2 linked regions of the Lytechinus pictus genome follow. The protein of the gene in region 1 purifies or fractionates together with the protein of each later gene. This does not show direct contact. Links are inferred from orthologs where the notes say so. Each region holds a gene or a part of one and is shown on either strand. Other genes may lie near its edges.

Region 1 (16,912 bases):
AAAAAACATAAGACTATATAGCAGGAAAGAAAAAAACCTGTATATGTGAAAAAGAGGAAGCAAATTGCCTAAAAAGGTAAAAGCAAATATAGAAGAGAGGGGGTGTATTATGAAGAAACCATAGTATACATGTAAATAAGCAAATGTGGTAAATCTAAAAGAGGTGAGTGGAGAAAAAACAAATATATATATATACACTGTATATATATGATAATTATTATATCGCCTGAATAAGGAAGGAAAAATTGGAGCTGAGCTTGTATGAGATATGGGAGGAAAGTAGAGTAAGAAACTATAATGTAACTATTCAAAAGAGCTGAGGGGAAAAATTATATGTATATATAAATTGAAAGTGGATAGGAAAGAAAAATCAGTCGTTCCCCTCTTGGATGTTCAGGCCATGAGGTTGGGTGGTGCGAAGTCGTCTCATCCAGAGCTTCTCCCTGCTAGTACGGACTGAGTCAGGACGGGTACCTAAAGATTCGATGCCATGAATGACATGAAAGAATGCGAGTATCTCTCTGAGAAGGCCCACAAATTTCTCTCCCCTACTAATGCTAAACCTGCCCGCTTCTATCTCCTCCCGAAGATCCACAAACCTGGCAACCCCGGTCGACCCATCCTCTCAGGAAATGGTTCCTCAACAGAGAACATCTCCCTTTTTGTTGATTACCACATTAAGCCCCTTGTCTCACGTGCACCCTCTTACATCCACGACACTCCAGACTTTCTCAGGAAACTAAATGACATCAAGGACCAGATACCCGAGACTGCGATCATCGGCACTTTCGATGTTTCTTCACTGTACACCAGCATTCCCCACGACGAAGGTATCCAAGCATCATGTGAAGCCTTGGCCGCTAGTGGCCATTCCAGTCCCCCCATATCCGATATCAAATCTCTGATGTCTCATGTACTAACAAAAAACAACTTCACATTCATGGGCAAGCACTACCTACAGATATTCGGTACAGCAATGGGCACCCGGATGGCTCCTTCATTCGCCTGTCTCTTCATGACGAAGCTGGAACAGCAGATGTTAGATTCAGCCCCCTGTCGCCCATGGATTTGGTGGCGTTACATAGACGACATTTTCTTCATCTGGACCAGGGATGAAGACAGCCTCCATACATTCATTGACCACATCAATTCCTTCCACAGGACCATCCAATTCACTTCTGATTTCTCCCAACAGGAAACCCACTTCCTTGATGTTACAGTCCAGAAAAAGTCTAATGGTATCACCACTACCCTATACTCTAAACCCACAGATACCCACCAGTACCTCCACTCATCCAGCTGCCACCCCCGTCACTGCAAAACCGGCATCGCTTACAGTCAAGCCCTCAGACTTCGCCGTATCTGCTCCGAGGACCCTGATTTTTCCTTCCATGCCAGGAATCTGCAGAAACATCTCTGTGCTAGGGGCCACGGGGCCAGGGCAGTCCAACTGGCAATTAACAAAGTTCGTTCTCTCCCCAGATCTGAAGTTCTCAAACCAAAAAGTGACAAGGAGACCACCGACAGAATACCGCTTGTGACCACCTTCCATCCCAATCTACCCCCTCTCCGCAAAATCCTGTTTGATAACCACCACATTTTACACACTTCTGATCGTCTCCAACAGGCCGTTCCCGATACTCCCCTTCTAGCATACCGACGCCCACCGAATCTCAGGGACCTCATTGTTCGTGCTGAAGTGCCCTCCCTCACTAACCATTCTTCTCCCATACAGCATGGCACCTTCAAATGCACCAGCAACAGGTGCATCATATGTGAAATACACCTTCACGAGGGCGATACTTTCACCAGCAACTCTACCAGCCTGTCTCACCAAATCAAGGGCAACATCACATGCACTACCACTAATGTTGTATATCTCATCACTTGCAGAGTTTGTAGGGTACAATACATAGGGGAAACCAAGACCACACTCAAGAAACGATTCTACGGGCACAGATCCACCGTCAACACAGCAAAGCTGGACACTCCAGTTGGCCGCCATTTTAACCTCCCCAACCACTCCATCACTGACATGATGCTACAGGGCATCGAATCTTTAGGTACCCGTCCTGACTCAGTCCGTACTAGCAGGGAGAAGCTCTGGATGAGACGACTTCGCACCACCCAACCTCATGGCCTGAACATCCAAGAGGGGAACGACTGATTTTTCTTTCCTATCCACTTTCAATTTATATATACCGGTACATATAATTTTTCCCCTCAGCTCTTTTGAATAGTTACATTATAGTTTCTTACTCTACTTTCCTCCCATATCTCATACAAGCTCAGCTCCAATTTTTCCTTCCTTATTCAGGCGATATAATAATTATTATATATATATATATATATTTGTTTTTTCTCCACTCACCTCTTTTAGATTTACCACATTTGCTTATTTACATGTATACTATGGTTTCTTCATAATACACCCCCTCTCTTCTATATTTGCTTTTACCTTTTTAGGCAATTTGCTTCCTCTTTTTCACATATACAGGTTTTTTTCTTTCCTGCTATATAGTCTTATGTTTTTTCCCGTCACACCTAGCGGATTACCATATCAGTTACACCATATGTGTATATATTTATATATTTTTTCATATACATTTCTTTTTTGGATATATTTATATATATCACTTATAGATACATATTTACACTTACCTTCTTCTCTTAGTTTGTTTAATGCTTTATCATATATACTTATATGTCTTTTGCACATTATCAGTTGTTCCCCATTCTTTTTCTTCTTTTTTTTTCCCCCACTCTTATGCACCAGTTTATTAAGCCTTTCTTTGTAACCTGTTTGACCCACCTCTCACTAATTCTCTAGTTATTCATCCCTCTATCGCTGTTTTGTTCCAGATCCTGTTTGATGTTGCCTGCCTCATTATCTTAATCCCTCTTGGCCTTACTTATACTAACTTCCCTTTGTGTCTGCCTACTCCTTTTCTTTCATCCCCTTCACTAACCTGATTGGTCTTCTCTACTCACTAATGCCCCTTTTGTCTCCTTGTTTCTAGTGTTGCTGTAGCTTGTTTGTGGTCTATATTATGGTTGTTCCACTTTATATGTTTGTCATTTTGCCTCCGACGAAGATTCTGCTAGGATCGAAAGCTTAGGCCCCCTTTTTGACTTTATAATTTACTCCATTGGCTCTCTTTTATTAGATATAAGCAGTTTTCAGCAGCTTCTTTTTGCCACCATGAGTATTAGTGATGATTTTTGGCCTTTGCATAATTCTTTTCATCAGTACAGGAGGCAAAAATTGGCTAGTAAGTCCTAATACCCCTGAAGTTGAAAATGTACTAAAATTTAATTACCACTGATCCCTAATATTTTGTAAAATTCTGTTTATTTATGGTAGAGCCACTTATTACATACTATATACTTGTATTTTATTTGATATTATAGACGTAAAGTACTTAGTTTGTGTTAAGTATCAGAGAAGAATATATAAACAAGCTTTATTGAGGCATTTCTTCAGTCATAAATGCCTAAAAATAACATTTTCCTTCTCAAATGTCAGAGGCGTAATTCCGTTACCATTATGTGTAAAATTCCGTTACCATGTACTTCCCCAAAAGAAAGACCAATCACGAAAATTTGTTGATAATATTTGTGAATAAATTACTTTCAAAATAAAGTTGACATTATAATAAATTGAATCAGACATTAGCTTGGAGCTAGTGTGTTGTAGATTTCAGAGAAACTTTTACTAAACTTTGGGTTGCAAAGTGACTCATTTCTCTGGTAATTCCGTTACCATAGCACATATCCGTCATTCACATCTGAACGTGTGAGGGGTTTTCTAAAAATCTTGGTTCAGAATATAGCACAAGTGGCCATGCATAGTATTAAGTTTAGAAAATGGGAAAATATTGAGATATCTGGATGCTGTGAGAAAAAATAACAGCCAAAATTCTCTGATTTGTAATTCCGTTACCATGGAATTGCCCAAAAGGCACTAGAACAGACTAGACGTTATGATCTCCATGACGACACTGTAGAATTAAATGTCCGCAATAACGTCCTCGTAACAATTATGTATTTTACCGTATTTAGTTTTATATTTATTTCAAAAACATATCAAAATCTTCTAATCGTTCTCAGAAAAAACGTTTAAATCACAATCAGGCTTTACGTTTATAAAGTGATCACCGTACGTGATGTTTATGGCTGCTCTCTTTACTTCAGACGTTTTTAAAAGACAATGTCTTCCGTAACTTCGCACGACTTTTACACCATAATTTGTTGCTGGTGATTCTTTAGATTTAGGTGGTTGTTTTATTCACATGAATTCATGAAATAGTGCTTTCAAGCAACTTTGATTTTCTGTTCTAGAATAAAAAAAAACAATCGAAAGATATAAAAACTACAAATTAGACGTTACGACTTTGACGATGGACATTGCCAAAAATGTGTCGCATATATAATTTTAATAATGCTTGAAATTGTCTTTATTTTCATTTGTTTTACCTCGCAATAAACTAGTATTCAAGAGTTGAAAAAAAATTTTAATTTAGGCATACAGTATCAAGCGATGCACGATGTGACAAGTGTCCTTTTAAGACGTTATTCATTCTTTTTAATATTCCACAATGTCTCATATAAAATCCAGGATTTTTGGAAAGTGGCGGCTAAATTTTTTGACATCGAGGGCTGCGAAACGGGATGAAAGTCGGGGGGGGGGTCGACCATGCAAAAAAAAATCAAAATCAGATGTTTTTTTCTGATGGGATAAAGCCATACCAGCGCCCGCCCCCCCCCCCCCCCCCCCCCCCCCGTTCTGGGACCCCTGGTATCAGCGGCGGTTTGGATTTAGGTGCCCAAATTATGTCAATGTTGTGTGGCCAATGTTGTAATTCGAATTGTGACAGAATTCCATTTTCTTCTCTTTTGACAATAAAATTATAATCTTGCTTTAATCAAATGTATTTTATTTTATTTTATTTTGGATTCTGAAACAAATGTATTGAATAAACATATTTTAATGGTTCGCTACCTAAAAAGATATTTTATACGGTTTCATTTGTTCCTGAATGTACCATGCGGCGGATCCGGATATGACAAGGGGCTCAAACTGATGACTTCCCAACAAAATTGATATTTTTTAATGTTCTAAAACTATTCAAGTTGGTTTTTGGACGTTTTGTGTAAACATTTTATGGACGTCAAAATGTGGTAGGTTTTAGACGTTTTAAACACCTTTTTTTAAACGTCAAAATAACCCCCTCCCCCCAAAAAACATTTAAAAAACTTTCGGAAGTTCGATGAGATGATGATGGTGATGATAATGATGATTGATGGTGATGATGATGATAATGACAATGAAGGTAACAATTTTGCACAATGGAGATCCGATTAATGGTCGTAATGACAAGAATGATGTGAAATCATTTTGACAAGCTTTCTGCCTTTTTATTGCATCCCCGATTTCCTATCAATTATCTTTCAATTTGTATAAAATATGTGCCAACAAATAATATCACTTTTGTTTAAATTTATTAGATTTTTATTCTCATTGTTATATTCTCGATCTTTGTCTGATGATTATTTTATCACCCAGTACTTTTAATGAATTTGAAATAAATGCTGAATTGATATTGACAACTCATTGTAGCATGAATATTCGGCATTATAGGCCTATGCAATAAAAAAGATGGTTCATTGAGGGCAGAAATTCTGTCAAAGGATGCAATTATAAACGATACAAGACACAAAATTATTTTTTTTAAGACACATCAGGCGAGACTTTTTACCTTTTATTATTTTCTTCTCCAATTTCATTCAAGGATTTCATCACGAAATTGTTATTTAAAAAAAAGACACATCACGCGAGACTTTTTTCCTTTTATTATTCTCTTTTCCATAATTTCATCACAGCATCAATCAATCAAAACATTCACAACCTAATAATGATAAAAAAATTAAAATAAAAATAATTCTTATCAGGCGCTTTTCCAAAAGTTGAAAAGTGCTATACATCAGCCATTAAAAACAAATTGATTGCATGGATGTAACCACGTTATTTTGATATTGTTCCTATTTTCAATCAAATTTATTTGTTTATTCTATACATTATATTTCATTAGTTACTTTTAGTTCTTTCGTTAGAATTTATCTTTTTCAATTTTATGATTATCAATTCTCCCCCCCCCCCCCGTAATGTTACCGTGTCATTAATTTGCGTTGAAACAGTCACATCGTTTGAAAAGCCGAGAAAATTTCCTTTTCTTATTTTTTGAAAATTTGTTCCTTCATTAGCACCGTAACGTCTCAACTTGGGACACGCGAATTGTCTTTGCCACAGCGAAGAATTGCTGCACAAAACTCGATGTTTCTGTCTTTTATTTACTGGTATTTCATCAAATATCAGAGATGTTTGTCATTTAAAGGCACTTTCAAGTCATATTTTGGAATTATGCAATTTATTTCGATATCGCTTAGAGTAACGTCCCAACATACCGGCGTATCGAAGATTGCGCTTGCTACTGAGCTTGGCAGCGCAAACTAGTGCTTCGATCACCTCCGAGTTTCTTCTATGATCGACTTTATGCGTAAAAACAACGAAAATTTTCCTTATTTATTCATTTTTATGCATGTCCACTCGGGAAGAGTAACGTCCCAACATTTTTAGAAATCAGGTGATATTGTGAAATAGACATGCCAGCTTATCTTTTCCTTATCTGAACCAGTTTACCGATGTGTTGGCCTATCTAAAACACATGAAAAACCAAGCCGAGCGAGTACTTTATTTTTCGACCCCTTTGTCCAAGTCTTAACCGGAATGGCCCATTTGCAATCAACCACAGGACATGTGTGATTGATTTGGGGACCACAAATAGTTTTGCAATTGATTGCTTGCAACACCCCACTAGGCCATGAGAAATGTGTATATCAATGATTATTATACTGGTGGTGGTGGTGGTGGTGGTGATGATGATGATGATGGTGGCGGTGTTGATGTGATGATGATGGTGGTGGTGATGATGGAGGTGATGATGGTGATGGCGATGATGATGATGATGACTATGATGATGATTATGATGGTGATGATGATGGTGATGATGGTGATGGCGATGATGATGATGATGATGATGATGACTATGATGATGATTATGATGGTGATGGTGATGATGATGGTGATGGTGGTGGTGGTGGTGCTGATGATTATGATGATGATGATGATGACTATGATGATGATTATGATGATGGTAATGATGATGATGGTGATGGTGGTGGTGGTGCTGATGATTAGGATGATGATGATGGGTATGGTGATGCTGGTGATGATGACGATGATGTGGACAGCATTCACAACAACAGAAATAAGAATGTTGACAATAGTGATGATAATGACATTTACAATATATTGTATTGGTGGTAATGATGATGATGGTAATGGTGGTTTTGTGATGATTGTGGCGATAGGTTTTACAGCACCATTTACCTGTGGATGATTCAAAAGTGATATACCCTTTATTATTTGGAATAGACAATATATATTATGATATATGTTTTTTTGTCTCACCTGCATAGCAGAGTGAGACTATAGGCGCCGCTTTTCCGACGGCGGCGGCGGCGGCGACGGTGGCGGCGGCGTCAACACCAAATCTTAACCTGAGGTTAAGTTTTTGAAATGACAGCATAACTTAGAAAGTATATGGACCTAGTTCATGAAACTTGGCCATAAGCTTAATCAAGTATTGCTGAACATCCTGCCTGAGTTTCCTGTCACATGACCAAGGTCAAAGGTCATTTAGGGTCAATGAACTTAGACCATGTTGGGGGAATCAACATCAAAATCTTAACCTAAGGTTAAGTTTTTGAAATGTCATCATGACTTAGAAAATATATGGACCTAGTTCATGAAACTTATACATAAGGTTAATCAAGTATCACTGAACATCCTGCATGAGTTTCACATCACATGACCAAGGTCAAAGGTCATTTAGGGTCAATGAACTTTGGCCGAATTGGGGGTATCTGTTGAATTACCATCATAACTTTGAAAGTTTATGGATCTGATTCATGAAACTTGGACATAATAGTAATCAAGTATTACTGAACATCCTGTGCAAGTTTCAGGTCACATGATCAAGGTCAAAGGTCATTTAGGGTCAATGAACTTTGGCCAAATTGGGGTATTTGTTGAATTACAGCCATAAATTTGAAAGTGTGTTGGTCTAGTTCATAAAACTTGGACATAATAGTAATCAAGTATCACTGAACATCCTGTGCGAGTTTCAGGTCACATGATCAAGGTCAAAGGTCATGTAAGGTCAAAGAACTTTGGCCACGTTGGGGGTATTTGTTGAATTGCCATCATATCTCTATTAGTGTATTGGTCTAGTTCATAAAACATGGAAATAAGAGTAACCAAGTATCACTGAACGTCTTGTGCGAGTTATAGTAGTTTTCAAAATCAGCACTGCTGCTATATTGAATCGCGTGATGCAGGTGAGACGGCCAGAGGCATTCCACTTGTTTTATATTTAAATGTTTTATTTATTGTTTATTATTTGGGTCGGATATTCAATACTGAATAATGACTATTGAAATAAATGATACATGGCTAAAGCCATTGGGCCTGTGGTTTAATCTACACTTTGAATGAAAGAGTATGAATTGGTCATGTGCCGGAAGCAGTATGATTTTGGTCACATGCCTGAAGCAGCCACCCCTCACCTATACTCTTTTAAAGAATGAGTCACTTCCTGAATTATAATACACTTTTTAGAGTTTAAGGTTCCATTGAATATGAGAAAAAAATCTACATTTTAAGCAAGTTAAAAACATGAGAGAAACTGTTATTTGTTGTGAAGTCCTTCCCGTTTTCCATTTCCCCCTCTTCTGGGTCAAGAGTGGTAGGTTAATGATTTGCCGCAGTATATTAGTGTAATTCATTAAAACTAAATGTCAGCATTTAGATATTCTTTCACTGATTCATAATTCAGGGAACATTTTTCATGGTATCACATGACAATTTGCTCCACATTTTTTTTATGACTGCTACACAAAATTTCCTTTGTGTAGCAATTTTTTATGAATGAATGTACAGAACAGATTTGAAAGCTTATCTTTTCCAACCAGAAGAAATTATTCCCTGTAATTTACATATCACACTATTTGATTTTTCATAAAATGTATGAAAAATCTTTGTATGTTAAAAAAAAGAAAAAATTGTGGGGTCATGGTTGAATTCAGTCTTGATGATAAAGAGAGGAAGAATTTGTTCCTTTAAAAGCAGTGTGCTTGTGATGGTTGTGAGATGAAATTATGATTGCTAGGCTTATATGTATATGTAATGATTAATATTGGTTTACATACTACACCTGCAGAAACACATTAATATTATAATAATAGTCATATTTTAAGAAACACTATTCACATTTGTACCATAGGGATTTTAAAACAGTTACATTGAACACAATAATAGATAGAATTAACATAATTATAAACCATACAATAATTCATGCATTAAAGGGACAGGACTTGAGGAGCTTCTTGAAAGTAGGGGTACTGGCTATTTCACAAATATATTTTGATATGTTCCAAATATTGGGCGCTGCTCTTCCAAAGCATTGGGCGATGAGTGTGAAGAGGAATCTAGGTTTGACTAATTGAGTCTTGTCATTTGCTGATCGGAGTGTGCGTTTGGGTGTATAGCCTGATAGATTCATAAAATATTCATGAAATAAATGTAGTTTGGTGTATGGAAAGTTTATGTACCCATTCATTTGAGTTACATGGAATTGTTTGATCATATCCATTTACAACTTTGTTTTTTTTAACTTGAATATTTTGCTCTTTTGTATTTTCATGTTGCAGGGAGCCACATCATCCGTAGCATGTTCAAGTCGTCACCTCCCAACAAACACAACGTCCAACCCCTCCCTCCTCTGGACCAGGAGAGCGAGCATCTCAGCACATTGTGTCTTAACTGTCTCCTTCATTTCTTCTCATGGATGCCACTATCCGGCAACATCACCCCCAGTCTCATCACCGTCATCTTCCACTTCGCCAACTTCGGCTGCGACATCCAGTCGGTCAGCCGCGGCACGTCGCCCGTGCGGGCCAACGACAGCTTCAGCGCGAGCGGGAGCTCCTCGCTGGGCGTCCTGGCCATGTCCTGCATCAACGAGATCATGTCCAAGAACTGTGTGCCCACAGACTTTGAGGATTACCTCTTGAGAATGTTCCAACAGACTTTCCAGCTGCTGCAAAAATTAACCAAAGACAATACAAACCAATCAGTAGGGAATAGGTTAGAAGAGTTAGATGAAAGGTGAGTGAAGAAGGACGTTCTTCACCAACGGGAGAACTGCACACAGTGTGTACATCTCATGTGTCATATGTTCCTTGTACTGATTCATCCATTATTGTTGTCTTTGTCCAACGTAGAAATTATTGATGTTATAGTAGTAACTTTGTTGAATGTTAATCATTTGAAGAGAAACAGTAGGGATAATTATGATTGATTTTGATAGGGAAATGTTGTTCCATCAACATTTCTTGTGGATATTAATCTTGTGTTTATGTATGAAATCATTGTCATTTGATGAATTATGTAGGAAAAAAGGATAAACACTGTTACATTATTCTACATCTCAGAATGTTAGCTCCTGCAGCAATATTAATGCAAGCCCACCTGCATTTTCTCCATCACTCTTCCCAATGTGCAGTTATGTAGAGAAATTCACAGAGTTTTTAGGTTTATTTGTCAGTGTTCACCTCCGCCGGTTTGAGAGCAACTCCCATTTTCCAGTGCTTGAGTTCCTATCCCTCCTCTTCAAGTACACATTCAAGCAGGTAAGCAGCATTCATATCACATATTCTCAAAGACCTCGGTCCCGTAACACAAAGGTTAGTGATTTATCCTAGGATTGATTTTTACGATTGATTTTACATTGTAGTCAATGCGATCAATCGTACAGATATTCATCTACGATTGATTGCTAAGCTTTGTGTTATGGGCCCCTGATGTTCTCTACCATTGCTGAAACAGTGTTGAGATATTTTCTCAAATTGACAAAGAGACATGCTTATGCACACTACACAGAAATATTAACATGGGACCACTCAAATATATATTTTTTCATATATATTTGTATGTTTTATTGAACAAATCAAATAATCATTATATGCAATTTAAACAAAAAGAAAATAAGGAACCAAAAAATAGACAAGTAAAGGCAGAGTACTAAAGTTTAAAATAAAATTGCAATTTGCCTTAAAATGATAAAACCAACCAGATATGACGTGGATATAGAATGGGGAAAACTACATGAAAGTTGTGAACAATATTTCTAAGGTCAGTTTTCACAGACATGTAAATAAACTAGGATGGGGTTTTCTGATCGTAGTAGTAGAATAGCCCCTGAAGAAAATTGTATAGTTCACCCAACTAAACAAAAGCCAAGTGTGCAGTACTAATTCTCTGTTGCAATTTTCTTTTCAGCCGGAGCCAGAAGGTTACTATTCTTGTTTAGACATCTGGACCATATTCCTGGACTATCTCATCGACAAGACCAACTCATCAAGAAACCCTGAAATGAACCACTTTGTAGACAGGTCAGTCAGTTAATTGATTTATCCAGCTAATGAATGATGCAATATCAACAGGGTCCCTGTTTCATAAATCCTTGTTATAATAAGAAGTGAACAGTTTCTGTAACGAATTTGCCAATCAGATCGAAGGATTTCAGTATTTTTAACTATTATTGCAAATAGGATATTATTATTATATGTTTTATGAAACCGGCCCCAGATTGAGATTTTGAATCAGTCTATTTGTTGTATGGGAAATGTAGAAATATCATTACTCGTCCAATTGCGACCTGCCACCCCCAATCAACATTAAGTCGATAGGGAAGGTTCTCTGAAAATAGCACCAAAAAAAAAAGGAATTTAGTCTTCAAAAAGAAGAATAATTCTTCTTTGTACTGTCAAAATTTGAAGTTTTGAGGTTAAGTTAAAAAAAACAAGATACAGGGGTTTCTTTGACACCAATTTTTCTTTGAATGGCCAAAACATATTTTTTATCTCATTTCTTTCCAACTGTAACCATTTTGATTTCATATTTTTTGGAAAGGCAAAATAAATGAAACAAAAGTGCCCTGTAAGTTTGAAAGATATGATATTAACCTTTTGTGAAACATGGCACCAAACCAATTTTATACCAGTTTTAACCAATTGCTATTGCGTCCATTCCTTGTTTAGATACAAAGATGCATTAATATCTGTGATGTCTGAAATACTGCACAAGTTACAGTTTAGATACAACCAGGCACAGCTCGAGGAACTAGATGATGATAACGTTTATGATGACGTAAGTTTCCATTAGAAGATATGTACCGACAAAAATAGTGATATTGACTCTTTAGTATACCAGCAGAAAACAAGTTTGTATGCTATTATATTACTTTATATTATCGGTGTGTAGCCTTCGAAATCTTATGACTAATGTATGTTTAGCAATTTCAATGGAATTGAAAGCACTGAGGAATTTGTCTTCTAAATGATAGGCTAATTATTGGCAGCAGAATTGAAAGCTTACGATTTCATGGCACTTTTAAAAGTAAAGATTTCTTTTCCTCAGAAACTTTGATATTCTTCCTAATATAAAGACAGATAGCATATTTTCCTAATGATGTTATGAGTGTTTTGATTATTTAAAAAAATAAATTGCCTGGTTGACCTCATCCAACCAACCATAAAATGCAAAAATCGGGGTCACTTTTTTAATGCAGACCCTAAAAATGCAAATGCAATGTTTTAATGGAAAATGTCAGACTTGGTCAAAGAGATAATAAGATATTTGCTTTGATTGACAGTGTGAGACGGAATGGCAGTGCTACCTCAGACAAGGCTTGGAGGTCATTGCTAAGATTGCTGAACTCTTACCTACAGAGGCGTTTAGTTTAGTGGTAAGTGAAAGAGGAATGTTTGTTTGAATAATGAAGGAGAAGATACGGCCATACCTGTCTATAAAGACCGTCCTAGGGAAGCAAATGTGGTTTTTGTGAGCAGGTGGTCTCTATGGGATGGATTCCTGTAATACGTGCTTCAGTGCCAGAAATCATTTAAGGAAAACCAAAATTGTTGACTTAATAGACATGTGGTTGGTAGTGCAGGTTTGACTGTAAATTCACTATCAGTATGTATGAAATCAATGGTGTAGTGGGTTGATAATGATGTCGACAAAATCCTAGTACATAAGCGAACGGCAAAGTACTTGTGAGAAAAGGAGATTACCTCGTAACCGTTCATATGTCTGAAGGATAGACTCTCTGAGCCATCTAGGTTACCGCTTAGTGTTTGTGATTATGAATATCGTCACTTTATGAAATGTGCTTTTTTAACTTTGCGAATTCGGTTGTTTTTTGGGGGGGTCTACATATACTAAGAAAGATTAACTCATGTAGTTAGTATTTCAAGTAAAAATGAAAAATAATAAATAAAAAATTAATATAAAATAAATAAATAATAAATGAAAAATATATATATATTTTTTTTCTTTCTATCAAGTACCCACCATTCCAAGAATATCTGACTGTGTACCTGGGTCTCAGACAGTATGTGGTTGATATCCCAGAGGGTAAGTTCAATCTTCTCTGTCTCCTCTTTTCCACCACCCCCCCCCCCTCAATCTTGAAGTTCTTTGCATGTGAGGGGTAGGGGTTTTTCTCTCAGCGACGTACAGAGAAGTCAAGAACAGAGAAGTGCATTGTCATATGCCAATCATGACAACAGCAAAGAAGACTTTGTTGAATGTTGGTGGATCAAGACAGCAGTTTCATCCTTGATTCTGGACAAACGACAAATTCATAATTTTTTTGTCTGATCTGAAACTTAGGACGAAACTGGTGTTCTGTTTCACAAATTTTTGACAAAGACCTCCCAGCTGCTCATGAATCTTCTGTACGACTCTTGAGTATATCATGAAATCTTTTTTGCAGGATTTTCTGCATTTATTGGAATAATATACAAAAAAAAATTTTACAATGCGTGAGACATAATCATAAGATAGCATAAAGTACATAAACAAGTGACAATCTTATATATAAGGACTGGAGAAAGACATAAATACAATATAGAAAAAATGTATGCTTGAAGCATAGCAGCCAAAAATGGGAAGGCTACCATGGAAACCTTAGAAATTGATTGTGTCTGTAAGAAAAAAATTCAATGTCACGAATCATCAAAGAACGGGAAAAAAAGTAGAAATTGAAAAATGAAGTGGGTGCAAGTGCAGGTGAGAGATTTATGAATATCTGGATAAAAGGTATTTTTTCAATGAAGCTTTGGAAGAAAAGACAGATGCAGTGAGTTTAATATGATTGGGTATGTTGTTCTATATATATGGGCCGTGGTGTCTGATATCTATTCGTTCAATGTGAACTTACACAAAGTAGGGAAATATTGACAGGTAATCAAATTTATCCGCATTTTCATGAGAGGATGTAAGCAGAACGACCCAAAGACCAAACCATGTGACTTTTTTTGTCCCCACATGCTCAGATTGGTAAATTTGTAGATGTTAGATCTAAACTTTGAATCTCCTGTCTTTTTGGACAGAAATATTACATTGTTTCACTTCATTTTCCATTCAAATTAGAAATATTTACTTGTGAAATATACATCCTTAATTCATTTCAAACCAGTATGATATGAATTAAGGGGATGGTTGGTCAGTTTTAACATATTTTTTGGTCACTGTTTCCCAAAATTTTTAAATGTTTAGCAAACTTTGTTGATTTTTTTTGTTTTATCGGTTGTTTAAATGTTGGTTAAATGTTTTGACTCAGGCCTAGTAAAAGGATAAAGATAATGTTTTTATCTCCCACCCTCCCTCCATCTCTCTTGCTTTCTTCTCCCTATTTCTCTCCCTCTCTGTGCCTCTCTTTTTCTCTCTCTCCCTCTGTCTGTAAAACCTTTCAGGTCAAAGGTTGAATGTCAACCAGGAGAACGAGTGTAGGAGATTACATTGTACTCTGCGAGACCTTTGTTCCATGTTCCAAGCATTAGGAAGATTAGCAGAGCACTTCATAGGAGACAAGTTCACAGAGAGGTTCGATAACGCCCTCTCATTAATAGAAAGGTGAGGTTCAGATGGTTTTATTAGGGAGAGTTCACACTGCGATGCAGAATCAATCCTAGCATGCAGCAAATGAAAATGCCAGCTAAATCACAATGAAAACCTGGGAGGTCTTTGTCGAAGATTGGTAAATAGCAACAGCATTTTTGTCCAACGTTTCGGAGCTGACAAAAAATTGCTAATGTGTTGTTTGTGCAGAGTCACGAATGAAAGTGTTGTTTCAATTCACCAACCCTTGACAAAGATTTCATTATCATGTAGGGCAGTTGACAATAAATTCTCTTTGTGTTCCAGTAAGCGTCTGTGTAGCTGTTGCGAAATCTCCCTTTTGATTATTATAAACGTATCTTAGAAGGTTGACTAATTCAGTCATCTGATTGGTCAAAAGTGGGATCATACATCCAACCATGCCTGCAAAACACCAAACTTAGGTGGTTACCAAGGGCAATGGGTTTCATGGGGAGTGGATTAGTATTTGCTGACCCCAGACTTTGTGAAACCTTTGGAAATACCTATAACAGAGACATCACTGGGGGACAGCAAACTCTGTGTACCAGCGAGAAATTCTTCGCCAAGCCTTAATTCCTCTCAGTCAACTATCAAGCAAGGGACAGTGAGATAATGACTCTACCATAAGGGGTTTTCCAGTGGCATTGATTACATGATGTCTTCTTTTCATATAACTTGTTCTACCTGGTGTAATTTGTATCCAAATTTTCTCGAATCCCCTCTGAAAGCTGACGTTGGAACCACAGAAATGCCAGTTGTATCAGGCATAGTTATAATGGCATATGCATAGTATAATATTTTGATTACAAATAATTCACCTGTATTTTCTGATTGATCCAGTCAACCTCAACTTTATGGAAATCTTTCATAATTAATGAATTTTTCCTACAGGAAATTTGCACCATGTCCTTTGTAAACAAAGAGGAGCACACTGAATTGTCAAGACAACAATGAATGATGTCCGAGTATACATCATAGCTCCGTAGCACAAAGGTTTTCGATGAATTGCAAATATGAAAAAACCGCACTGATTGGCTCCCGGTCAGTATTTTAAACAGAGTGCGCGTGCAACCATCATCTTGATTGGTCATTGGTATTTAGCGAGTGATTGCAAACCTTTGTTTACAGAGCCCATATCAAGAAAAAGAATTGAACGAACATGCACTTTAGATGTTGGTATTGCTGGCTTTCCATAGTTGTGGTTGATCAGGGTCTCATCTTACAAAAAGTTACGATTGATCTAATCAATCTCAACTCTATGGAAATCCATCAATGTCATGATTCTTTTTTACAGGAATTTTGCGCAACTTCCTTTGAAAGCAAATAAAAGCACTCCAAATTTTCAAGAAAAAAATGAATGTGTGACTTGACATATCTAGAAAATATTTTGAACAAACATGCGTAATAGATATTGACGTTGCTGGCTTTCCACAGTTGTGGTTGATTGGATCAATAACATAAGTTTGTAAGACAGGAACTAGTGATGCATCTACTGTAGCAGCTACATGATCTCTTTCTTTGCTTGTTATTCCTGTAGGTTATGTCAAGCAGCAGTGTATGGCACCAATATGAAGCTATACAGAATGAAGAATGCAGCACCAACAGTACTCAAGCCAGACTTTGTAGAAACGTGAGTATCTAGATAGAGTAAATAATGTATTTAATGATGATGAAAACAATGCTCGTAGTTTTACACTTTTAACATTTGTATCGTAGTGCTTTAGAGAGATGGTCACTATAGGCAAGTGGCCACTAATTATTACAATGTAAAGTGCTTAAAAATACAATGTATGAAGCACTATA
Region 2 (17,399 bases), on another chromosome or scaffold:
AAGAATTTGATTTTGTGGATTTTTAGTTTGCTTTGCTGTATGTGAAGTACTAGTATGTTGATTGTATATGGGTGTTATATTGTTTGCTAAGATGCTTGGTTTGGTTTGAAATGCATATGCAAAAATATAAACCACTGTTTTCTATATATTTGATGTAAAAATATATAAAGTTGATAACAGAATAGGCCTATAATTATGTTGATTCATACAATATGGGGGGGGGGGGGCATTTTATCAACATTCAATTTCTGACAGAATGTCAGTTTTGTCAACTTTCTTTGGTTTTGATTAGCTGAAAAATTAGTCTTTAATCCGGGGGGGGGGGGCAACGCACAATTTAATATCTTTAACGACACTTCATTTAAATGATGTGTATCTATCATGAACCAAGAAAGGTTTAAATTATCATGTACCATTAAAAAATTGAAATTCACACATTGTATATTACACAACATATGGGGCAGCTGCTCATATATGATGTCACAAAATTTAAAATTCTAATAACATATTCCCAATCTTTGATGGATTTTTCTCAAACCACCAGTTTTTGTATTTCTAATATTTTTACATCAGGGTGATTTTCCCCTTTAAATTGAAATACATACACCCAAGCAAGCACTAGCTGTAGTCACTTTAACCACATGCATGTCAAAAATATCTGCACGTTCGCAGGGCTTGACATGAGCAGTGGCCCGGTTGCCCGGGGCAATCTAAATTGAGAGCCGGGCTACCAAACTTCAGTAGAAGCCCACACTGTGTGTTCCCGTCAAGCTACCAAAGTTTTTATAAATTGCAATGTTCTCTATATATTTAGGGCCATCAAACTTGCTTTGCGGTGAGTTTGGTGGACTGATTGGGCCACCAAGAAAAAGAGTGTGAAGCCTTGCTATTGGGGCATGTTTTGAAACTGAAAGCAAGGTTTCTACGATAAGGCAGATATACAAAAAATAATTTTGATGTGGACAAACCTTGTCTTTTGCCTCGTGGGAATTCTTTAAATTTTTAATCCGGAAAACAATTACGTAATATTTACAGGGGCCGCGGAACCGGGGGGGCTTCAGCCCCCCCACTTTTTTCCAAAACCATGTACAAAAATTTAAAAATGACCATATGATTGTGATTTTTAGCATGGTCAGCCCCCCCACTTTTGGCTCAGCCCCCCCCCCCCCCCCCACTTTGAAAACCGTTCTGCGGCCCCTGATTTATAATAGGCCGATAATATTCAAGTTTTCCCAGTGCTATTTTCTCGGTCAAGGCTCAAGCAACTTTTCAGGGACAAGTGCTCCAAGTTTCCCTCATAAATATGAACTGGTTTAAGACAAATGATTAACATAATAACCTTTTTGACCTCTCACGTCCCTGGTCAAAGACGATATACATGTAGATCAATTTGTCATTACTTTTATATTTCTTTCGATTTTCTCGGATACCGTATATACCGTAAGGGCTGGGAATTGGAAATAAATGTTTCATTTTCATTTCGCCGAAATAATTGTGAACTATGGCGATGAATTACGCTGGAACAAGCTCGGGTTCGGTAAGTATACATTTCTTTGAATATATCATATGATTATAGCTATATCGTCATGTATGAAACCTTTCGTAAGTCATCGTTATATGCTCTAATTCTCGGTCGTAGACGACTTGCGTGGTTTTTTGATTGGCGAAGTTATCGCCAGGCTTTGTTTGTAAACTGGAACGTTGTCCCACTCGCCGAATTCTGTGTACCGGTATGTTGAACTCCTCAATACGTAACCCAGTCTGACATAGCCTGGAGGCGTCTGGGACTGGGGAGTGAAAGTAATATACTGTACGTATGGTCACTCCCCTAACGCCTGGCATTGTGATGTATAGGCTCCTACGTAATGTTGTAAATCGGATCAAAAATCAGATCGAAAATCGGATCGGCAGTTAAGCTTCTAAAATAGAAATCGAATCGAAAATCGAATCGGCGATGTTTAAAAACAAAGGAATACATCAAAATGTTGTTTGCGGTCGCGCGCATCTTCCTGACAAAGTCACAAAGACGAATGCATTGGAATGGAAGTCGCCAACATGCGCGATCGTTTGGAACATGTTAAGCCAGGGGTTTTGAGGTGTTATTGCTTTAAAATAAACCGAGTGATTTTTATTAGAAAGATAAACGAAAGACGCATCTTCCGAGCAAAGGCGCAAAGGAAAATAAAATGAAAATATTTCTCATAGATCACAGGTTAATGAACGATCGGCGGGACATCTTTTAGAAGTATTTTTAGGTGCTAGCGATTTAGAATTATTGGAATGATCTCTTACGACGCATCATCTTAAAGTCGCAAGTGCAATTAAAATGAAGTAGAAGACGCAAGCACGCACGATGATTTGAAATATGTTATTAAAATGTTTTGGGTAGCTAGCGTTTTCAAATCAATTTGAAGTTCACGGCGGGGTCCGCTATCACCACGAGGTTGAAGAGAAGATGTCTATCATCATAAAGGGGGTAAGAGAGTAGCGCAGTGAGCTCCGTCGGTAATACGACCTTTCAAAGTTCACCACGGCATCCGCTATCACCACGAGGTTGAAAATAAAATGTATATCATCATAAACGATGTAAGAGAGTAACTCGATAAGCTCCGTCAATAGTACAGTCTTTAAAAGTTTATGGCGGGGTCCGCTATCACCACGAGGTTGAAGAGAAGATTTATATCATTATAAACGATGTAAGAGAGTAACGCAATGAGCTCCGTCAGTAGCACAATCTTTAAAAGTTCACGGCGGGGTCCGCTCTCATCACGAGGTTGAAAATAAAATGTATATCATCATAAACGATGTAAGAGAGTAACGCAATAAGCTCCGTCAATAGTACAGTCTTTAAAAGTTTATGGCGGGGTCCGATATCACCACGAGGTTGAAGAGAAGATTTATATCATTATAAAGGGGGTAAGAGAGTAGCGCAGTGAGCTCCGTCGGTAATACGACCTTTCAAAGTTCACGGCGGCATCCGCTATCACCACGAGGTTGAAAATAAAATGTATATAATCATAAACGATGTAAGAGAGTAACGCAGTGAGCTCCGTCGGTAATACGACCTTTCAAAGTTCACGGCGGCATCCGCTATCACCATGAGTTGGAAGAGAAGATATCTATCCTCTTAAACATCGCCATAGATAATACCGCGTCTTTCTCCCTGAATAATGCGACCTCTAAATAGCTAGCACCTCAAAAACAATCTTGAAATATGTTCTGAGCGATCACGCACTGTAACCAGATCTACGCCAATTTTTTATTTTCGATTTTTTCCTTCAAGGGGCATGATCGAAGATCGGCAAGTGATTGCCGATTGTGGTGAAATCGAATGGAATCGGTTGCCAATTGCAAAATCGGTTACAAGCTTACTCCTACGTACCGAGGGAAAAGGCAACTATAAAAATGCGCCAAACTGCTAGTTATGTTTAGAATCTGAGGTCACGACCACTCCTAGTACCAATGAGGTCCAAACATTAACATGTATGGACCTCATAGGCGACATTACCCAAATTATGGGTTGGACAATGCTGTTCTGATTTCCAACCCAAGACTTTGGTAAATGTACACCTTAATACAAGTTAGAGTTATCCGATATACCTTTCATTCGGACGGCAAACCTTTATTTAGTTGTAAAAATAGTTGAAATTAAAATCGATTATTGTTAAACTTACATTTCAGGCCCTTTTTGTTGATTTTCGGTGAGCGTTCCACACAGCTGCGACGAGTGATCAACTCCGAAGTGATACGCGTACTGGTCAGCTGATCGGTCAGGTGATCGGTTGGTTATCTTTTTGTCAGACGTTCATAATTTATGTTAAGCGTATCAATCTTCAGTATCTTGATTTCAAAGCATCAGTATTGCAGAGAAAAGTCATTATTGATTGGAATCAGTGGCGGGGGGGGGGGGGGGGGGGGTTGGGGTGAGCATTTCTGCCCGTTCCCCCTTTTGAGATTTATAGTAAACATTTTGGAATTAAATATGTTATTAATACTAGTTATGTGCCCCCCCCCCCTCATGAGAATCACGTACAGCATTATTTGTAATGGGGATATTTCGTTCATATTCTTTTCTCTTTTTTGCCTTTTTTTTTAATTGCCAAATTCAAAATTTTACTGGGAACAAATTAACAATATGACTTTCTACATGTATACATCACTTTTAGGGACAAACTTTTTTTTATGGGGGTGGGGGTTGGGGGCTTGCCAAATATAATCAATGGTGGAAAAAATGACCTTCTTTTTAGTGACAACTTTATAAAAAAATTGTCAAATTTTACGCGAGACAAAATGACCTTCGATCATTGCTATAGTTAAAACCTTTTTTTTTTTTTTTTTTTTTTTTTTTTTTTTTGGGGGGGGGGTTGCCAAATATTACGTGGACAAAATGACTTTCCCTTTTCTTATTTTTGTGGGGGGGGGGGGGGCTTGCCGAATATTACGCGGACAAAATGACTTTCATTTTGAGTGACCATTTTTTTTTAACTTGTCAAACTTTACGCGAGACAATATAATGACCGGTTTTTTTTTTTTTAGTAAGAACCTTTTTTGGGAGTTGTCAAATTTTACTTGAGAAAATTCACCCCGCCCCCCCCCTACTTAATTTGGAAAATCTTGGATGCGCCTCTATATAGTTTGAATCATAATGAAGATTAAGATCATGCGTATATATAGCTTACATCCACGGCAGAGGCGTAAACCGCCAGGGGCATGCAGGCTGGCCCTTGATCCCCGGTCCAGTGGATTTCACCAAAAAAAAAACGGGATAAGAGAAAAGGAATGAAGGAAGGAAAAGAAAGAAAGAAAGAAAGAAAGAAAGAAAGAAAGAAAGACAGAAAGAGAAAGGGAAGAGAAATAAAAGGCCATAAAAAAGCAAAAGGAAAGAAAAATGCATGCGAGAATAATTCCGAATGTTATGTCAAAATCTATTGCAAAATTGATATTTGTAATAAAAGTGACAAAGGTTTTGCTCGCTCGCCTCTTCATCTGGTAGGCGCGTAGCTAGGGGCGGTGCCCCCCGAAAAGGTCCCTCCCCCCAAAAAAAAATAAGGAGGGAATAGAGAAAATAAAAAGCGAAATGAGAAAAGGGGGATGTATATAACTTAGTTTATAATTGTCTTTCCTTTTTTTGGGGGGGAAGGGGTCAAAACATTAACGTTATGTTTTTCTATAAATAGGTCTAATTGCTAAATATCCAGAGTTATCGAGACCCACCTGCTGATATTGCACTGGGGGTACACGATGGAAGGGTTAGGCCTAGGGGCCCCCAAAAGTTCTACAACCAAGATAAAAAAGAAATGAAGGGAATTAATGAAAAGAAAAGGAAAAGTGTAAGTTAAGATATCTATCTCAAATTTAGATTTGCACGAAAAGTTTTTTTCTCGCTTGCTTCACTCGCTTGGAACATATAAAGCAACTTTATTCCCACGCGCCATGTATGCCTACATTGGCCCTCTTTCTTTCTTTTATTTTATTTTTTTTTTACTCATCACGCTACCGTACTGCCACACACGGGTTTGCCCTTATGATCGTGGACAATCATAAAAAATATCATTTTCATACCATGTGACTTGGAAATTTTTGGCTCCACCCCCCCCCCCTCTCGATCCCTGTATCGATTTTGACTTGATAGGGGCCTATACCTGATGGAATTAGCTTCATTCAATATAAAATCATAACGGATAGAACGCCTTGAATACAGGCCAAACAGCCTAACGACATTGCCGTGTCACGTGACAACCAGTATTAAACGAGAATGTGCACAACCCTATGGCAACAAAATTTGCCGCAAAAGTTGAGCAAGTTCTGGACAAAAAGGCTTCAATACCCCAAGAAAAGACCAGGCGAGTACTATTTATACATTTTTTCAATTTAGTAATATCTAGAGTCTAATTTAAGAACAGATTTCGTCATGGAGCTCCATGGTAAGATCTAGTAATTTAAGTCCAACATTTAATTCGCGTGCACTCACTTTTTTAACACAGGAATTAATAGCCTTGGTGCTTAGAGTGGTCACGACCAGATGACTGCTGTACATGTCATGGTTCACTCTAACCCAGAGAGCACCCCCACGAAATCAGGTCCCCCCTGTATTTTTTTAAATATGTTATAATATACATAATTATCACATCAGACAAACTCTTTCCGGTAAGTAGCAATACAAAACAAAATTATACATATGATATTTAACTCATTTCATTTAAAAAGAGCAAATTTCGCTTACCTCGGCCAAGCAAGTGACTTCGTTTGTCTCTTCTACGGAAATACAAGGAAGCCCGTTGGTGGCGCTCATAAATTTCACAACCTTGATTCAGCTCCTCGGTAATTTTATAACTGTGTCTAAATTCTTTGAATGCGCAATTCTTATGATTAATTTACTAATTATGGGCACCAATAAATAAAATACCTTCAAAAACATAATTCAGGATTACTATTGGCGATGATAACACTTTTGTTGCAATTAATTTAAAACGATGACTAATATAATTTTTTTTTTTTAAATACACATGCCTGGAACGAAACCAGCAGTACAAGCAGTATTAACGAACGTCACGGTATACCAAAGTCTATACAATGAAAAGATTGGACACTTCACGGACTTCGCGTAATGCCTTGCGTCGATTTGCGTGTAAAATAGTGTAGGTTCCTAATCTTTCCCTTGTCGTGTCTTTGATATAATATAAATCGCGCGCCCTCTTTAGGCGAAAATTGACCAAATTTTATCTCCGTGAAATCTTCACTAAAGATCAAGAAAATATACATATTTTTAAGAAAAAACTTCAAGGAGAAGTCACGGAAGGATCTAAATGATTCGGTAAGTGTCATAGCAGAATGTGAAATACCAGATTATTGGTGATATTTTATGTGGGCAAAAGCCCACTATCTTTTTGACTTGTCGTGTGTGTCACGTGCATATGACTGATATTCCTTCGCACGCGAGATGATATGAACCCATGGGTGGTCATGGGTAACAATATTGGTTGGCAACGTTTGGCACACCCAAGGGTTCATTACATGCCGCCGCGCACAGAAAATTCAAGCCATAGAAGTCGTGTGTTGTGGACCCAAGAAGTGAGATCCCAGCACGCGCGACCCACTAGTTAGAAATCCACTGCCAAACGCGGTTCGTGGTGCGAGGTTAGTATACTAATACTAACCTCGCAATACGTGTGAGTGCGTTTGGCAAAAAATGGATAGTAATGGTTACAAAATGACGAATAAATTATATGAAGTAATAAAAGTAGAAGAGAGTTTACTTACGCTTGTTGACATCGCCATCTTTGATCCTTTGTTAATGAAACCTAGTTACGTGACGCGTATAGAGGGCGGCAAAATCATGAGCGGTGCTAGATTAAAAAGTGCTAAAATGTCCCGCTTCAACCACTGAACTAGAAATACATAGAGAAAACATATTGCATCTTGCCTTCTACGGCGCGTTCTCGAACAATTGACCTAGCAAAATGGCGGCGGTCACATGACTTATCGAGTTCGCCGGCGATGTTTTGCTTGGGTGTACACGACCTCCACATATTTTCATGCGTTCTGGTAGGTGTGATTCTAATAATCCCCATTTTGGGATTTGGGGACTATATCACGATTATGCCCAATTTATGACATTTTACGGCAAAATCGTGATATAGGCCTCGCTCGAGAAAAATTTGTAATCGATCATACCTCAATATCTAGGTTGCTAACTTCAGCTCACTATATATACTCGTGATAGGCCCCGCTGCTGTGTTGAATGGCTCAGAATGTCCGTTCGCGGGGCCTGTTTCACGAGTATATACTATAACCGTTATATAGGCCCCGCACTACGGCACTTCAGACACTCCAACACAGTAGCGGGGCCTATATCACAAGTATATTATTAAGCTTGCATCCTAAGATAGTCGCGAAACTGGCCCCGTCCAATGCGCTTTTTCCAGCATTCGCACGTGTGTGGGGCTCGGATGACGGCTATTAGTATACCGTAAGGGCACTAGTATTCAACCCGTTTAGAGAGTTTCCTCAAATATATAGAAATATAGAATAAACCTGAATTTCAGACCCATCTTATTTCCAAGAGCAAATGCTGGTTATTCTTTTTCCGTTATTTTTTTCTTCAACCCGTCGACTGTGTGAGCGGGTGATCGAATTATACGGCGATGGTTTTTGGCACTAGTATTCAATCCATCGGCACTAGTATTCAACCTCCACACATAAAAATAATTAGAAACGAATGATACCTCTGACTCTCTATATCACAAAAGACAAAAAAATGAAAACAAATAAATTAAATGATTAATGAATAAATATAAATACATTATATATAAATGTAAATACATTAATTAATCAATTACAATAGATTGAAATAAGTGAACTTCCACACATAAAAAGAATTAAAAACGAATGATACCTCTTACTCTCTATATTACAAAAGAAAACAAAACTGAAAACAAATAAATTAAATGATTAATTAATCAATTAAAATAGATAGAAAAAAATGATACCTCTGACTCTCTATATCACAAAAGAAAAAAAAACTGAAAACAAATAAATTAAATGATGAATAAAATACATTAATTAATCAATAGAAATAGATTGATAAATAAATAAATAAAAATTAATAACTTTATTAATATATAAGTAAATCGACAAATGAATTTCTGGAGAAGTATAAATACATACACATATTTATTCTCTCTCCTTGTTTATTTGGAAAATAAATTGGAGGCCCTCCCCCCCCCCCCTAGCGCCGCCCATGATAATTCTCACCGGCCGGGGAAACAAGTCCCACAACCACGTTACTTTCCATGATATAACAGTGTAAGGGGCCTCGATAACGAGTATACTAATAGCCGTCATCCGAGCCCCACACACTCGCGAATGCTGGGAAAAGCGAATTGGACGGGGCCAGTTTCGCGACTAAGTTCAGTAGGTACCCTCCCTAGAATCAGTGTTAGATTGTCAGTCATATTCATTCATTTTTGTCTCACCTGCATAGCAGAGTGAGACTATAGGCGCCGCTTTTCCGACGGCGGCGGCAGCGGCGTCAACACCAAATCTTAACCTGAGGTTAAGTTTTTGAAATGACAGCATAACTTAGAAAGTATATGGACCTAGTTCATGAAACTTGGCCATAAGGTTAATCAAGTATTACTGAACATCCTGCCTGAGTTTCATGTCACATGACCAAGGTCAAAGGTCATTTAGGGTCAATGAACTTAGACCATGTTGGGGGAATCAACATCAAAATCTTAACCTAAGGTTAAGTTTTTGAAATGTCATCATAACTTAGAAAATATATGGACCTAGTTCATGAAACTTATACATAAGGTTAATCAAGTATCACTGAACATCCTGCATGAGTTTCACGTCACATGACCAAGGTCAAAGGTCATTTAGGGTCAATGAACTTTGGCCGAATTGGGGGTATCTGTTGAATTACCATCATAACTTTGAAATTTTATGGATCTGATTCATGAAACTTGGACATAATAGTAATCAAGTATTACTGAACATCCTGTGCAAGTTTCAGGTCACATGATCAAGGTCAAAGGTCATTTAGGGTCAATGAACTTTGGCCAAATTGGGGTATTTGTTGAATTACAGCCATAAATTTGAAAGTGTGCTGGTCTAGTTCATAAAACTTGGACATAAGAGTAATCAAGTATCACTGAACATCCTGTGCGAGTTTCAGGTCACATGATCAAGGTCAAAGGTCATGTAAGATCAAAGAACTTTGGCCACGTTGGGGGTATTTGTTGAATTGCCATCATATCTCTATAAGTGTATTTGGTCTAGTTCATAAAACGTGGAAATACGAGTAACCAAGTATCACTGAACATCTTGTGCAAGTTATAGTAGTTTTCAAAATCAGCACTGCTGCTATATTGAATCGCGTGATGCAGGTGAGACGGCCAGAGGCATTCCACTTGTTGTCAATCAGCAATATCAAATTAAAAAATTGAGCAATGGGTTGGCTCGAATGAATATCTATGGCCTGCCAGTTGTGATTAGGTCCGTGCGACCTGTATTATATGGCACATTAAGTTTTTTTTTTAATTTACCTTCCTGGCTTTTCTTAAGCATCTATACACTCACTTTATCAAAAAGAAATGCATGAAATATACAGATGTGTTATGTAATGACCAATTTTAATGTTACTCCTAATGTCTAGTGTCCTATGGATTTACACACATCCTACCTGCCTATATATAGCTCAACAATGGATGCAACGTAGGGCCCAACATCCTATAATACAAAATTGTAGATGTGCATAGTGTGCATATCTGGATACAAGAACTGCCCACAATTATAAATACCAGATTCACATGAGTTAAATGAGATACATGTAACAATAAAAAGAAATGAGAATTAACATACAAGCATACTATACATTCACATCTTCCTATGACAAGGGGTGTAAGAGAGACAGAGGGAGAGAGGGGTGTTAGATGGCTTGTATTCTAAAGGAATGGGGACTAGTCTGGCTAGAAATAAATAAAAGTTAGAACAAGATAGCAGTAGCACTCATTCTCAGCACCCCCCCCCCAGACATACTTACCATGCTTTTCTCTATCCCCCCCCCTCCCTCTTGAATCCACCACTATTCAGTCAAATTCTAAAGTTCTCTGTTCTCCATCCCTTTCCCATGAAGCAATTTCACAATTGCAATTGATCAAAGCCTATCTAATGTTTAGTATCCTGAAATGGGTGCTATACACGAATACAGCAGTGCTCGTTGGTATACAAGAACACACGAAAACATGCAACGCAGAGACTAAGGTTAGCCTACAAAACAGCCTAGCCTCGGTATACAAACACAGATGATCTACTAATCACAATTTGTTACCTGATATACCACCTCTGTAGCCTTGCACATGACCATTAAGTTCAGTTTTTGGACCTCTTGATGGCTAAAAATATGCATACTAATTGAAAATAATTTGCTACTGAAGAGTTTGGGCTGGTGTTTCATCCACTACGGGATTCCCCTTGTAATAGGCCTATAGTCTTGCTATAGGGCTCACAGGCCTATTTCATTTCCCATAGACTCGTGTGTTAAAGTGGCACTTAAAAAGAATTCATAAAAAATAAGGAGGAAATTCGAGGGTTGAATGTTTACTACCAGTGGATAGGATAAATGTCTGACATTCCATATCTGACCAGAAAAGGGTACCTCGACCGGCTCATTTAAAAAATAAATCGGCATTTATGAAGACTACACCTGCCGGGACCAAATTCATCACTTGAGAGAGTGAAATGACCCTAATTCTTCCGCCAGTAAAAATATGGTTCCATAGTGGTGATATATCTTTCCAATTTGGAAAAAGTAAGTTCAGTAGGTACCCTCCCTAGAATCAGTGTTAGATTGTCAGTCATGGTGTTACATTTCAAGATTTTACTAAATATTGAGAATAGAGAAGATAAACATTGCAATTAAAAATAGACAAATATAATTAACAAACAATGATGCAAATTTCATTTTGTGAAAAGACATTTTAGAACAAAAATGATTGCAAAAAGCTTAACACGTTGATTTCTGGGCAGTTTACTCTTCAAGGAAAAATAACTATGCTTACTAATGCCTTCCTATATTTTAGCGAGTTGAGGACCACAGGAGAAAGTGGGACCGAGATGAGTATGAGAAGCTTGCTAAGGAACGTTTGGATCAGGAGCTTGAAGCTCAGGCTGAGAAAGGTAACATAGTCACCATTTAATTTAAATTTGTGTTTGTGGTGTTGAATTTACACCTTGTGAGAGTATGTAGAATTTATTGTAATTCAACTTCTTATGTAGGGCCTGATGCCCACTTTTCACAACCTCATCATGATGGTGTGATTTTATAAAGGGCACACACCGCCCGTCTCCTACTGAGGGTTGAAGTTAATCTGAATTGAACTCAAGTTGATATTTTGAAAGAATGTACAATTCCATAATGAGATCAATCTCTTTGTCGGTTTTAGTTTGATTCCGATCAATCAAAACTCTTTCTAAATTTTGTCCCAGAAATCTCTGACAAGTGAGTAGATGACTGACAAAATAACCCAAAGAATATTTTCAAAAAGGTTTTTATTTTGTGCAAGGGTAGCCCCCTTGGGTTTGTCCATTTGGTGTCAGTCATACAGCATCTGCTGGGTACTGTTTAACAAAGACTAGTTACAAATGCATAATTTGTATCATAAGCAAGTTTACTATCAGCCAATCAAATTGAACGATTTCAGTAGCTTTTAACTGTTTACATATTCATTTTCATAACAACTTTTATGAAGCGAACCCCTGGTCTAAACATAAGGAATCCTGTACTTAAAAATAATGAAATCAAATGTTTCTATCATTCTTCATAATGTTTCAGAGAGGAGGAGAAAAGAGCCTGTTGTCAAGCGTGAGCTTCTCAAGCAGCGTGATTACAAGGTTGACCTTGACTCAAAGCTGGGGAAGTCCCAGGTCATCACCAAGACAACTCCTTCCTCTCAGATGGGCGGATACTACTGTGATGTTTGTGATTGTGTTGTTAAAGACTCCATCAACTTCCTGGATCACATAAATGGCAAAAAACGTAAGTCAATTGATCTTTGTAGTCTATATGGTGCCAACTGATCTATATGTTTATATGAACAATACTTGCCAGATTTAAAAGCATTAATGATGAAATCTAGTGCAAGTAAACAAAATTAAAGATCCCAGATGAGAACAATTTAAAGTTTCAAATTATCAACCCATCCTCATGAACTGAAGTTTAATTTATTATGAAATAAATGATATATGATACTGGTATGTATGTAAAGTGGTATTGAATTAATTGTATTGATACATGTAATTAAACTCCTATAATAATTTCCTTTCATTCTGTACAGATCAAAGAAATTTAGGAATGTCAATGAATGTCGAGAGGTCATCTTTAGATCAAGTCAAAAAGCGGTTTGAGATGAACAAGAAAAAAGTGGAAGAAAAGAAAAAGGACTATGATTTTGAAGCCAGGTTACAAGAACTGAAAGAAGAGGTGAGTTTTAGAATGTCATGGATTTTTGTGTAGTGGATATGTATTAACAGAAATCCCATTATCAAGCTCTTACATATTATGTTGTGAAGATGTAATAACATCTCTTTTGTAGCTTTATACAAGAGAGCTGAATACAAATAGCCAAAAGACCTTGACCTTAATCTAACCTTGAATGTAATTTAAATGACCAGTGACCCTTGAATAACCTTGTGTTCAAATTTCATGAAATAGGTCATTACACTTTGTGATGACATTTTAAAAGCTTAACCTTGCTTAAGATATGATATTGACGATGCTGCTTTTGCCATTGCCACCACCATTAGAAAATTTACACTTTTATTTTACTTCTGATTTCAGGAGTGATAAAAATGTTGGATGAAATGAAACATACAGGCCCGAATTCACAAAGGTGGTTTTGAAAACCCACGGTTGAGTCCATGGTTTTTGCAGATTTCCTGTATAAAATACACTTCGCCAAAGCAGAGGAATTTAACACATCAGATAAGTTTGCGTAAAGTCATTCTATCATTTATTGGAACCAAGGCTGAACATAGCCGACTATAAAATTACATATATTGGCGTGATCCATTTTTCCTTTTCCCCTCACTGATCGATAAATCATAATTCCTAAATTAACAAACACATGCATATAGTAGTAGGAAACTTAATTATACCTGAGGTATTCTACCTTCGATCTTGAGTTATAATTACTATAGATTACAGTGTACAATCATAAATGGTACATAACTCCAACTTTAAACCTCTAGCAAAAAGCAAAACTGAAACAATGTACTTATAACACAATCCAAAACATCACAATTAACATTTCTAAATTCTGTTGAAAACGATTAAGTTAAAGCCTTGGTCGACTTCGATTCCAAACAGTAGAAGTTTTTACACCGCTATCTTTGCACCTTTTCACTAACAAGTTACATATCTCTATATATGTGTGACAATCCAAGAAATACATTTACCAAGAATTCTCTTCACATGAAAATAACAATATGCATGCTGTACACATTTGATGCAATCAACGAAATACATGTAAATAACAAAATCTTTTTTACTAAACCTGTTCAAGCATGTAGTATAATAATAATAATAATAATAATAAACAAATAAATAAAGCAATTGCGCAGCTTGTCTCATTTTCTGTATATATACCCTCATCAATATTAGTTCAACATAAAGCAATTGCGCAGCTTGTTTCATTTTCTGTTAATATACATTCACCAATATTAGTTCAAATTCAACTGAATTAAAACAGTAATACAACATGTTAATTTTTCTCTGCGCATATAGTCATTAATAATGAAACAGACTCAAAAGGGCAATCACATAGTATGCTAACTTTTCTCTGCGCAAAGTAGTCAAAAGTAGTCCAAATTTAAACACAAATTAAAGGCATGGCTCCCTTACCACACAACAACACACAATCTTCCGACAGCCTTATATTGTATACATTTAACGTTTTGTAACTCTTTCTGCCATATTAACTCCTTTGTCTCTAATTTTCTGGGTATACGTAAGCTACATGAAAATACTAAACATTGTGACTCTTCAAGATACAAAACTTTTTCGTACATATGTAAGCTATATGAAAATACTTAAACATTTTGACTCAAACTGACAGTGCTTAAAACCATTGCCACTATTCTATGAACTAATCAAAAAAATATACCAAGAAATTAAAAAGAAAATGATTTTAGCATCCCTGTAAAGGAGCATACAAACAAATATCGTTAAAGAGCAATAGCAAAAACACGTTTACATATATTATCCATATGCCGTTCATAAATATAACAATTCAAAGGAAAATGCATAAAGCATGCATAAGGTATGTGTAAAGTATTTGTCCCAAGTGCATGAATAATAAAACACTAAAAAATTGAGCTTCAAACTAAGCTTAAAGACAAATATCCAAATAATATCATACAAAACCCAATAAGTTATTCTTCAAATGACGGCGACAGACTATTGAAACATCATATAAGGCAACAAGCGTTAAAAGTAACATGACTTGATATGATTTGCAATCACAAATAGTTTCAATAACCTGATTGACATTAAAAAATGCAGTATTACATAATGATAAACAGCGGGCAATGATAAAAATATCACATTCGTCATAAACATCAACAATCATCGGAACATATTACAAAACCAAAATCATATTGATACCAGTCTAACGTCCTTTATTGTCTTATAAGCATACCAAATCTATGCAAAGAAAAACAAATGATGGGAACATTACATGGACAGCAATCGGAAAAAAAAAGGGGGGGGGGCATGCACAAGAAAATATCAAGTGTATCACAAGTCATCTTAAATGCTGACAAAAAAAGTAAAAAAACCAAATCATTCAAAACAAAAGGCGTACAAATGACATAAGAAAAGAGTTATGAGTCCAAATAAGCATAGTCAAGAAATAGTCCTATGAGCTCAGCAGAAGACTCACAAAGATTGAGGATGAATGGCCAATTACACAGCAAGAATGGGACACGGGGGTGGGCTGTAAGGGAACGGAGGGGCAGGGGGAGGTGTTGGGAGGTAAACAGTCTGCTGTTTGAATGGAGCTAATTCAGGACCTTGTACGTTGGAATGTAAGGGAGGCACCATCTGGTCAGGTTGCATCACGTAAGGTGCCAAAAATGTCAAGGTAGGTACGACAAGTCTGTGGGAATGACTGTCCATAAACGCGTCAGGATGGAGCAATGACACATTAGCCAGCGGACGGCTAAGGAAACAATTCCGGGTCTTCAATGTGATGAAAGAGATGATTGGGATTGCCAGACCGCTGTAGCACTCATCCGGTGGGCGACCATGGGGCGCATGGACATCGGGGCAACTGACAGGGGCGTCATCCAAAGTAGATCGAAAGTCACCGACCGGTGCAGAGACTGACGCTTCACGGCTACTGCTAACAGGATGAATTGTCCTCGAAAGCTTAAGACGGGAGTGATCACTGCCATCATTGTAGAGGGTGTGGGATAAGTCAGCACTGGTCGTTGTTGCGGGGGCATCAGGAGGGCGACTGGGAGGAGCTAGGGCCCTCTCTCTAGGGACGTGAAGGAGAGTCACTTGGGAAGGACTGGTGGCCATGTCCGAGGGAATGTCTTGAGCAGGATGTTTCACATCATCTGTTGGGATCAGTCTGAGCGTCTTTACCATGTGAACTGGGTCCATGGTTCTCGATGGGCCAACTGATGAAGACACTTGAACTTGCAGTTCATCACTCGGGACTGGATGAAACCCTGGTACGACAGCGTCTGGAACAACATCCTGCAACAGATGTAACTGAGAAACTGATCCGTCTGGTTGAGAACATATAGGTAACGTGTCACTGACTGCATTAATATCATCGAGACGGCTGTCATGAGCATAACTTGTATCATTGCTAGAGGCTTGATTGAGATTAACGTTTCTGGATACACGTGCGCATTCGATGCCGACGCGACAGGCACGATGGGACTGCAGGTCATCCTTGCTACAAGATTCACCGTGCAACTCGTCGTTGCAGTCATTATTATCCTCATCTATCTCTGATGAGCCACAACCCGGATTGGTTAGAAAGTCACCCGAAAAGTCAACAAGAACAACAAAGTCATTCACTGGCGTGTCAGCACTCGTCAATCTAGGCTCAGAATGGGGGACACTTATTGGTCCACAACCATGGACATACTCTGGAATGTCAAATATCTCATCTGACTTCGATGAGCAACCAACAACATTAATGCCTGGAATATTTGCTATGATATTGCTGGATACACTGCCAAATGTCACACTGCAGTTACCAAGAAGGTCTTCATTGACTTGATCAGATTCAATCAGAAAATCACAAAGGCTTGCGCAACTCTCCTCAGCAAGTTGACTAACTCGGAGCTCGCACACGCCTGTCTCATACTCATAGTCATACTGCACATTCTCATTGTACATTATGAACTCATTTCCTGATTCACCTGTAACTAGCTCACATACATCTGGGTCACATTCACTTTCTTTATTAACAGACATATCTGCATCTGTCTCATATTCACAATCATTGTCAATCCCATCACCACTGACGTTACAACAATCATCGCTGAACCCAAAATAAATGCATATAATAGACCAAATTTGAGCAAGAGATGTTGAAGAATTGATGATTTGGCCTCGCGAAATGACAGGGCAATAAATCGAGATCTGGCCAAGCATACATTCTAACAATATTGCTTTTTGCGCAGCAGATTTCCGATTCGGCAAGTCAACAGGATCATCATGAAAACCCCGAAAAGGCTTCAACTTTGATTTCCTATGCCATGAACAATCACGAACAAGAAAAGGTGTAAATTCAGAATAGGTCTGAAGTAAATGGAGCAGGGACTGCCTCCATCCAACGAAGGATTCATATGTCTCGTCCTTCATTAAGCGCCTA

The links.
Region 2: the proteins of exportin-6-like (region 1) and zinc finger matrin-type protein 2-like purify together in Homo sapiens (co-immunoprecipitation; 3 studies listed by BioGRID and IntAct, with this or other methods). This does not show direct contact. The link is inferred for Lytechinus pictus from reciprocal best matches to the Homo sapiens genes XPO6 and ZMAT2.

What each region holds. Positions count from the first base shown.
Region 1 is NC_087254.1:15,837,632-15,854,543, forward strand, and holds the start of exportin-6-like, read left to right. Parts: upstream 1-9,833; 5' UTR 9,834-9,851; coding exon 9,852-10,288; intron 10,289-10,685; coding exon 10,686-10,812; intron 10,813-11,461; coding exon 11,462-11,574; intron 11,575-12,222; coding exon 12,223-12,331; intron 12,332-12,836; coding exon 12,837-12,929; intron 12,930-13,530; coding exon 13,531-13,600; intron 13,601-14,943; coding exon 14,944-15,103; intron 15,104-16,646; coding exon 16,647-16,739; intron 16,740-16,912. UniProt on the Homo sapiens protein: Mediates the nuclear export of actin and profilin-actin complexes in somatic cells.
Region 2 is NW_026974140.1:2,205,596-2,222,994, reverse strand, and holds the start of zinc finger matrin-type protein 2-like, read left to right. Parts: upstream 1-8,935; 5' UTR 8,936-11,682; intron 11,683-12,337; 5' UTR 12,338-12,459; coding exon 12,460-12,541; intron 12,542-12,839; coding exon 12,840-12,985; intron 12,986-17,399. UniProt on the Homo sapiens protein: Involved in pre-mRNA splicing as a component of the spliceosome.